Linked DNA regions of Oryctolagus cuniculus. The protein of the gene in region 1 purifies or fractionates together with the protein of each later gene. This does not show direct contact. Links are inferred from orthologs where the notes say so. Each region holds a gene or a part of one and is shown in the gene's direction. Other genes may lie near its edges.

Region 1 (4,538 bases):
TTCTTTTTATTTTTTAAAAAGATTATTTATTTGAGAGGCAGAATTACAGAGGGACAGACAGAAAGAGAGGTCTTCCATCCGCTGGTTCACTCCCCAGATGGCCACAATGGCCGGAGCTGGGCTGATCCGAAGCCAGGAGCCTGGAGCTTCCTCTGAGTCTCCCATGCAGGTGCAGAGGCCCAAGGACTTGGGCCATCTTCTGCTGATCTCCCAGGCCATAGCAGAGAGCTGGATCAGAAGTGGAGCAGCCGGGACCCAAACTGGAGCCCACATGAGATGCCAGTGCCCCAGGTGGAGGCTTAACCTACTCTGACACAGCACGGACCCCAGAACGCCCATTTTTTACAGCACCCACAAACTGGTTTCTGTCACTCCCCCTCTTCGTGGAGGAACGACACTAAACCCTGCCTAGGCTTCATATCCGAGTCACGGCACCATTATGTCGCTCCCCCTCTTCGTGGAGGAACGACACAGGACCCTGCGTTGTTCTTTCGTCTGCTCGGCCCTCCCCGGGTTTGCTGCTGGTTCTTCCCGGGTTGGCTACCGTCCCTTCCACCTCCGTGGAAGGGCGGTTCCCCCTGGCCACATTCCCCACTTCTGCAGGGGAGCGGCACACCGCCGGCCGGCTCTCTCGGGGGCTGCACAGGTGTTCCCCTTAGATGTTCCTTCAGATAGATGTTCCTGGTGCGTGTTGTCTCTCTCCTCCTTTATAGTCCTCTTCCACCAATCCCAACTCTGCTACCCACACGCCGAGTACGCTGCTCTCCTCCAATCAGGAGCAGGTCCTGCAGCTTGTCAAGTTGGTGAGAGGCAGCTGGGTAGAAGCTGTTTGCTCCTCTCCCAGCGCCATATTGTGGGAGAGCAGATGCATAGAATAAGTCTTAATTCCAGTAACTTAGTCTAGTCTGAGTTGCTCCCAGTTGCTCCCCACAGTTTCCACATGTGAAGATGGCAGCAGGAAGTCTGGACGTGACTCTCCCATGGCTTGTGGAGGCCTCTATGGGAGGCATTCTCTCTACACCTCTGAAAACAGCCTTCGGAGAGGATGTTTCCAAAATTCTGTGCAGCCGTGACAGTCGGTGGCCTTTCAGTTAGGGTGCAGGTGGAGGCCTGGGCTCCACGGGTGCATGTTCTCTGTCTAAGAGACTTGAACAAGGACTTTCCCAAACACGCACTGAGTCCCTGCAGACACTGGGCCCCGCAGCTTTTCTGAGGTGCCGTTTGGCCCAGAGCTGACCACTGCCATACTAATGTCCCCAGAGGCCAGACCAGGAGCGGCTGGCAGACAGAAGCAGCTCGCTGGCCTCTTCATTGGAAACCAGCCCACGGCCACTTCATCTCTTACATTCAGCTGTGCGCGAAGCCTCTCCTTCTTGGCTGTACATTTGCTTTGTTTGAGTCAATTAATCCATGTCCCTCTCCTCTCCCTACCCCCAACCTCGCTTTTAGAGAAACATCAATATTCATATAATATGTAAAAAAAATTAAACACAAAAAGCTGACTCCCCACTTCCTGCCTCATAGGCCCTCTTTCTTCCTTAGTCCCTGTGTGATCTTGGCTTCCCAGCAAGTGTGGTGGGGGCGGGGGGAGCATTTGGTCAATGCGGCCTTGTGTGCAGGCCTGGCTGCCCTGCCGCCTCCGCCCTCAGCCCTGATTGGCTGCCTCGGCTGCAGTGGGACTGCAACAGTCCTCCGCCCTGTCCTCCCTGGAAGGAAGGGATAAGAGGCTGCGAGCCTCAGCCACCACTCGGACGCCGCAGCCGAGAGAGGACGCCTGCAGCAAGAGGTGACCGGGAGGAGGTGAGGACACTCAGGACAAAACTGCTCATTTCTTGGGGATCGGGGTGGGGGTGGCAGAGTTGCAAAGACTGGGAACTCTGGGCTTCTGAGATAACGGCGGCATTTCTCGAGCTTCCGTGGCATCACCTGTGTTAACCTTGACTTTGCTGTTGATCTTGTTCAGCTCTGTGGGCATTTGGTTACCTCAACACTAAGCCAGCAGTGCTTGTGCCTGTGCTGTGATTTCTACAGTTGAGAGAAACCCCAGGTCTAGTGGCATTTCCCCAGAGGCACTGCAAGTACTGACTCTTCCCGAACTCTTGGGAGAGGAAGCTTTCGCTTTCTCTGGGGCTGAGAATCCTGGAGAACCTAATGCTGGCTCACCGCCTGTCACAGGTGTTTCACCCCTCCTGTTCCTCCTCCCTCAGCCCTGGGTTGGTTTCCTAGTTTCCTTCAACTTTGAATGCCAGGGTCCCCAAGTACCCCTGAACAACACCCAGAAATCACACAACAGCTGAGAAGTCTTTACAAATTATGGATTAGGTCGAAGAAAGTGGGTTTTAACTTCCCTAAGTCTTCAGTTTCTTGTGGAGAGAAAACCTGCATCAGAGGAACACTCACCTTATGTGTAATGTGCCTTTTTAAGGAGTTAGGGTCCAAAAGTGCTTTTGTTTTTATATAAAAAGACTAATGTAAAACATTCACAGAATTAAGCAAGGAAAAAAATAGATGCTTATTCCCATTTCTCTTAAAAGGTATGCTATAAGCCATCAGCTATTTCTGAACTCAAAAGGAAGGATTTAACAGGAAAAAATTTAAGTTAATTTGTAATGTGGTTGTGAAGAAAACTGTACTTTATTCATTTATTTTAGTTAGAGGGAGTGAGCTAGAGACAGACAGACGTAGATCTTCTGTCTGCTGGATCACTCTCCAAATGCTCACAGAACCCCAGCACTCGATCCGGTTCTCCCATGTGTGTGGCAGGAAGCAAGTGCAGGAGTCACTGCTGCCGCCTCCCAGTGTGCCATGAGCAGGAAGCTGGAACTGAAAGTGGGCCCAGGACTGCACCCCGGCTCTCAGTATGGGATGCAGCTGTCCCAGGCAGTGTCTGAACTGCTGAACCAAACACCTGCTCCAAGAAAAATACATCTTATGGAGTTCCCTAAGATATGGAATATTTATTTTATGTTTTCCCTTTTTTAAAAAAATCTCATACACTTACATAATTTAATTACCCCTTCCCCAAATTATCACAGACTTTGAGAAGGAAACATCAGTATGATGCAAAGATTATTTTATTCCTTAAAAAATATAGATTATCAATTGAAAACTTGAGCGCAAAGAATAAAAATGTAGGAAGTAGGGGCACAGCAGGTTAACGCCCTGGCCTGAAGCGCTGGCATCCCATATGGGTGTCGGTTCCAGAACTGGCTGCTCCATTTCCAATCCAGCTCTCTGCTGTGGCCTGGGAAAGCAGTGGAAGATGGCCCAGGTCCTTGGGCCCCTGAACCCATGTGGGAGACCCAGAAGAAGCTCCTGGTTCCTGGCTTCAGATTGGTGCAGTTCCAGCCATTGCAGCCAATTGGGGAGTGAATCATCAGATGGAAGACCTCTCTCTCTCTCTTTCTCTCTGCCTCGCTGCCTCTCTTCTCTCTGTGTAACTCTGACTTTCAAATAAAATAAATAAATCTTTTTAAAAAAGTAGGAAGTGTAAATATTTCAATGTATATAAATGGTTCTATCCACCTGTGATATATCAGATTGTTAGGGACTTAAGAGCAAAACATTTACACTGATTTTTAAGAGATGACATATGCAAGATGGGAATGATTTTTAACAACATGTAATTTTAAAACATTTTAAATTATGATAGTGCAGAGGTTCTTCGTTTTTATTTTTAAAGATTTATTTATTTATTTGAAAGGCAGAGTTAGAGGGACAAAGGGAGAGGCAGAGAGAGAAAGATCTTCCACCTGCTGGTTCACTCCCCAAATGGTCACAATGGCCACTGGGCCAGTCTGAAGCCGGGAGCCAGGAGCTTCTTCCCAGTCTGCCATGTGGGTCCAGGGGCCCAAGCACTTGGGCCATCTTCCACTGCTTTCCTGGGCCATAGCAGAGAGCTGAATCAGAAGTGGAGCAGCTGGGACTCGAACCAGTGCCCATATGGGATGCCAGCACCGCAGGCAGCAGCTTTACTCACTAGGCCACAGCATCAGTCTTTGAGGTTCTTATTTAATGATTAGAACTCAAGGCCAACATTTGATAAATTTCTCTGCCTAACCATCTCAGTTTTGTGAACCAACTGATAATCCATTCTTACAAAATATGATACACAGCGATGATTGACCAGATATTCTGTTGCAAACCATGGTATGAGATACCTGTTGTGAGAGAAGTAGGAAGCTTCTTACTTTGATTTCTGCAGAGAAACTCTTTTAAAACAATGACTATATACTAAGTTACAAAGAACATTTTTTCCTAAAAAAAAAAAAAAAAGATTTATTTGAAAGACTTATAGAGAAGCAGATGCAGAGAGAGAGATGTTTGCCACCCGCTGTTTCACTCCCCAAACAGCCGAAATGGCTGGAGCTTTGCCCATCCAAAGCCAGGAGCCAGGCGCTTCTTCTGGGTCTCCCACGTGGGTGCAGGAGCCCAAGGATTTGGGCCATCTTCCACTGCTTTCCCAGGCACATTAGCAGGGAGCCGGATTGGAAGTGGAGCAGCTGGGACTCAAACTGGCGTCCACATGGGGTGCTGGC
Region 2 (4,589 bases), on another chromosome or scaffold:
ACTAAGTTTACAGATAGAATTGGGCCACCAAAGAAAACTTATGTTTAATTATATTTGTAAATATATTTGATTTATAAGGAATACCAAACTTTTAAAATATTCTATGCTAGACAATTGAAGGAATTAAAATTTGAAAAGATTTACTTATTTATTTATTTGAAAGTCAGAGTTACAGAAAGAGGAGACAGATCTTCCATCTGCTGTTTTGTCCCCAGATGGCCTCAATGGTCAGGGCTGGGCCAGGCCAAAGCCAGGAGCAAGGAGCTTCCCATATGGATGGCAGAGTCCCAAGTACTTGGGCCATCTTCCACTGGTTTCCCAGGCTCATTAGTAGGCAGCTGGCTCCGAAAGTGGAACAGCTGAGACTTGAACCGGCACCCATATGGGATGCCGGGGTTGCAGACAGCGGCTTTACCTGCTACACCGCAATACATTTTAATGTACTGTTACGGACATAAATTTAGGTGTCTGAAGACGTTGCGTTAATGAAGTCAGTTGTTTGGTTTCTGAAACGGGATTGGTAATAGAATAATACAAATTGTAAGGTGAACTCAAAAGCTGAAAAAGGAAATGACTTCGGTAACAATAACAGACCACACCCTTTTTTTCTGCGGGGGTGTTTGTTCTCATAGTTTTTTTTAACTGTCGACTTTAATAGTTTGAAGGAAGCGTGAATAAACTGTAAATGGCGGGTTGGAAAAGGCTGCAGCCAGACTGCGAAGAAGCTTGTTTGGCCTACATAGAAACCTGGACCACATTCTGGAAGGAATCACGAGGTGAAAAAGAAGAAAGCGAAGCACCGGGCATTTTTGGTTTAGGAAGTAGCCCTGGTCGCCGTGAGGCGCTGGCTGGCAGAGGCGACCACGGGGTCATCACAGCGGGGACAGGCGAAGGCGACACGCTGCAGAAATAGCCTGGACCGCACGTGGGTGGGCTGCCCTGACTGGGAACCGAGTACTTCTCCCGATGGCGACCACGGCAGGCGCAGGTGCAACCCGAAGTGTCTGCGGCACCCACAGGTGATACAGTGCTTCTCAGCTGCAAATCCCGAGCGGCTTCCTGACCGTCTGTTTAGCAGTCACCACGGTTTAAAGGCAGCGTAACCTCACCCAGAGCGGGCCCAGGGGCAGTGGGAGAGGGCCGAGCATGGCATTCCTTGGAATACCGGCATTTTAAGGGCAGGCTGCCAGGCGCAGAGAAAGGGGCGTCCGTGACGGGGGTCGAGAGTCCCCCGAAAAGGAACTCGCAGAGAACAAGGGCAAGGACACTAAAGGAAGGGCGTCCAGACAAACGCGGCGCTCCCGTGTTGGCTCCTGCATCGCAAATACTTGAGAGACTGCGCAGTTCCGAACCGGCGAGCGCCGGCGCACCTGGGCGGGACCGGGGCCAGATGCGCGGGCTGGGACCGGGCGTCCCTTACTTAGCACGCTGGGTTCTGCGTGGGTCCAACAGGAACACCGCGAGCCTCGGGGTAAAGGAGGCTAGCTGGGCCAGCAGGGGAAGCCAGCCGGCCCACCGCGTCGACTTCTCAGCCGCCGACCCTACCAGTCCGGCTGCCTGAGCTGCGGGTGGGGCGGCGGCCCCGCAGGGCGGGGCTGCAGCCCGGGAACTCCTTCCCGGCAATCGCCGAACCCAGCACGAGCCCGATTGGCCGGCGGACTCCGCCTCCTTCCTTCCGCCTGCAGAAGACGTAGCGGCTCGCGGGGAGGGGCGGAGCTAGGGGCGGTGCCAGGGCGGGCCCTGACGGGCACGGACACGCCCCCTTTCCGCTGGCTCTGGGCGGGGCCTGCGGGTGGGGCCGGCGGCACGGGGCGGGGCTCGGACACGGGGCAGCCCGCGCACTCGGCAGTCGCTGCAGCTGTCGCCGCCCGCGCCTTCGAGGTCTCACCGCTTCCTCAGCAGAGACCTGGGCTCGGCCGCCATGTCCGCCGCGGACGAGGTTGACGGGCTGGGCGTGGCCCGGCCGCACTATGGCTGTGAGTGAGGGGCTCCGAGGTGCAGGGGCTTCGGCTTCGGGGTCGGGCTTGCTGCCTCGGAGGGGACTCGGCCCCGGTGGGTGGGGCAGGGCGGGTGCGGGCCGCGCGCACCCGGAAGCGCTGGTTCGGCCGGTGGACGGCGAGGCCCCCGGCCCGCGCCTGCTCGGGCTCTGAGGCGGCGGGGAGGACCTCGGCGGCCTCCGTGCCGCGGCCGGGGGAACCCCTCCCGGCGCCTCCCGCCGCCCGGCTCTGCCGAGATTGGGAGCCGGCGCGGGTGAGGTGGCAGCACGGTGCAGGGCGTGCCCCGGGGGCCGGGGGCCGGTGCTCTGCCCGGCTCCGCGGGAACGTGCTGCCCCGAGGGCTGCCTGCCTGCCCGCGCCTGGCCGCGAGGTGCGGTCCCGGGCAAGTCGCTTCAGCTTGCTGGGGCTTTAGTTCGCTTGTAAAGATTTCAAAAGAAAGAAAGAAAAAAAACACCCCAAATCCTCTGACTTCCTCATTTTCTGTAGCCCATCCCTGGGACATTAAATTGTAGGCGGGATACTGACTGCTGTTTTGGGGGGGGTGTCGCTGGGTTCTCGATTTTATTCTCTGGAGGCTGTGTTATTGTTTTAAAGGATGATTTCCCCCACTGACAGTTATACGTGGGGTACTGTGCCACGTTTGTGAAATTAAAGATGAGTAAGACCCGGCCCTGCCTTCGAAGATTTTTTTTTGTTAATCAGAGAGACAGGTGTACACGCTGAGAATGTGCGGTAAAGATAAAAGGTGCATAAGTAGGCGTTCAGGGTGATCGGAGTGAGGAGAAGGGGTCTGGGAAGACGGCCCAGCGCAGGTGGGGACGCTGGAAGGGAGCCTTGAAGGTCAGGGTGGGGCAGGAGGCTGACTTGCAGAGGGAGGAGGGGTGACGGGCGCTGCCTCTCGGTGGTGTGCAGTGCACCGTGGTGGGAGGCAGCACGGGGAGAGGGCGAAGGGCTTCCGGAAAAACTGGGACAGGCCTTGAAGTCCTTGCCAGGCGGTTGGGAGTTTGTTCCCCAGCCTGGCTTGTGTGGAGGAAGCAGATTGCTTCAACCTCAGGCTCTCAGGCTGCAGAACCCAGGCCACTGCCACTTGGGGTGTGCCTGCGTGCGTGCATGCGTGCGTGCTGAACTCACTGAGCCTCAGTTTCCCCAGCTGAAAAACAAGAGTGCTCATCGCTGGGCCTTCAGTGAGCCAAGGCTGTAAGCTGCTCAGCACGGTCACTGCCGCTGGGTCCAGAGCTTCAGGGTCTGGGGAATGATGTGGCTGGACCTGGCGGATAGACAAGGCACAATTGGGCCTAAATAGCAAGTCAGCATTTTTAAGATTTGTTTTATTTTGAAAGACAAAATGACATAGAGAAAGGGAGAGACAGAGAGAAAGAGAACTTCCAGCCACCTGCTCACTTGCCAAGTGGCTGCAGCTGCCGGGGCTGGGCTAGGCCGGGCCTAAGCCAGGGGCGTGGACTCCATCCCAGTCTCCCACGTGGGCCCAAGGACTTGGGCCATGCTCCGGTGCTTTCCCCGGCGCATTAGCAGGGAGCTGGATGGGAAGCAAAGCAGCTGGGACTCTAACCTGTGCTCTGGTATGGGATGCCTGCATGGCAGGCGGTGGCTTAACCTGCTGCGTCACAATGCTGGCCTTTCAAGTCAGTGTTTTGCAAGGCTACACTGAAATGCAGTTCATGCTCGTACTTGTGTTATGCATTTGGAAAAAAGAACAAGATGAGTATAATTGAAACTCCATGGTTCTTTTTTTAGGAAAGCCATTGTAGCGTATCTAGCTGTCTACACAGCCTCCCGCTACCCTGACCTTGCGGGTGACTTGCAGCAATTTGAGGGCTGCCACATTCTCTCACCTCTCAGGACGGTGACCAATCTTGGGGTTCACGAGGTTCTTTCTTTCGCGTTTTAGCTGTCCTGGATAATGAGAGACTCACCGCAGAGGAGATGGATGAAAGGAGACGGCAGAATGTGGCGTACGAGTACCTTTGTCATTTGGAAGAAGCCAAGAGGTAAAGGAGACTGGGAGAGGGGAACTGGTCTGCTGGAAATGTGGTCACATATTCCCATGTGCGTGCCGCAGGTGCGGCGGTGGGACGTTGGGGCCGAGGGGATAAGTATAGGTCAGCCGTTTATTCTTGGGAGCAAGTAGCCTTGACGATCATTTATCATGAAACACTTAGAAATTTCCACGTTGGTGCTGTTAAGTTTTATCCTGAAGGTGCCTGTCTTAGGCTCCACCATCTGTGAGGGAAAAGTCGTATTTTTAGGATTTGAAGTTCTTGGTCTTAAAGTCCTATGAAATCTTCACTGGTTTTGGTTTATCTGTGACTTGAATCCCCTCACTTATGACTCGGGGAGTGTACTTGGTCTGGCAGGCTTAGGAAGTAGCGTTGTTGGGGCATAGCGGGTCAAGGCACCACCTGCAATGCTGGCATCCTATGTGGGCACTGGTTCCTGTCCCAGGGGCTCCACTTCTGATCGATGGCCCTGCCACCCCCCTGGGAGACCCGGATGAAGCTTCTGAAACTTTTGGCTTCAGCTTGGCCCAGGCCTGGCCATCTGGGGAGTGAACTGGTAAATGGAAGATGTCACT

Evidence for each region.
Region 2: the proteins of S100B (region 1) and IQGAP1 purify together in Homo sapiens (co-immunoprecipitation; 3 studies listed by BioGRID and IntAct, with this or other methods). This does not show direct contact. The link is inferred for Oryctolagus cuniculus from reciprocal best matches to the Homo sapiens genes S100B and IQGAP1.

The regions. Positions count from the first base shown.
Region 1 is NC_091435.1:235,777-240,314, forward strand, and holds the start of S100B (protein S100-B), read left to right. Parts: upstream 1-1,653; 5' UTR 1,654-1,800; intron 1,801-4,538. UniProt on the Homo sapiens protein: Small zinc- and- and calcium-binding protein that is highly expressed in astrocytes and constitutes one of the most abundant soluble proteins in brain.
Region 2 is NC_091443.1:100,819,573-100,824,161, reverse strand, and holds the start of IQGAP1 (ras GTPase-activating-like protein IQGAP1), read left to right. Parts: upstream 1-1,776; 5' UTR 1,777-1,921; coding exon 1,922-1,976; intron 1,977-3,905; coding exon 3,906-4,005; intron 4,006-4,589. UniProt on the Homo sapiens protein: Plays a crucial role in regulating the dynamics and assembly of the actin cytoskeleton.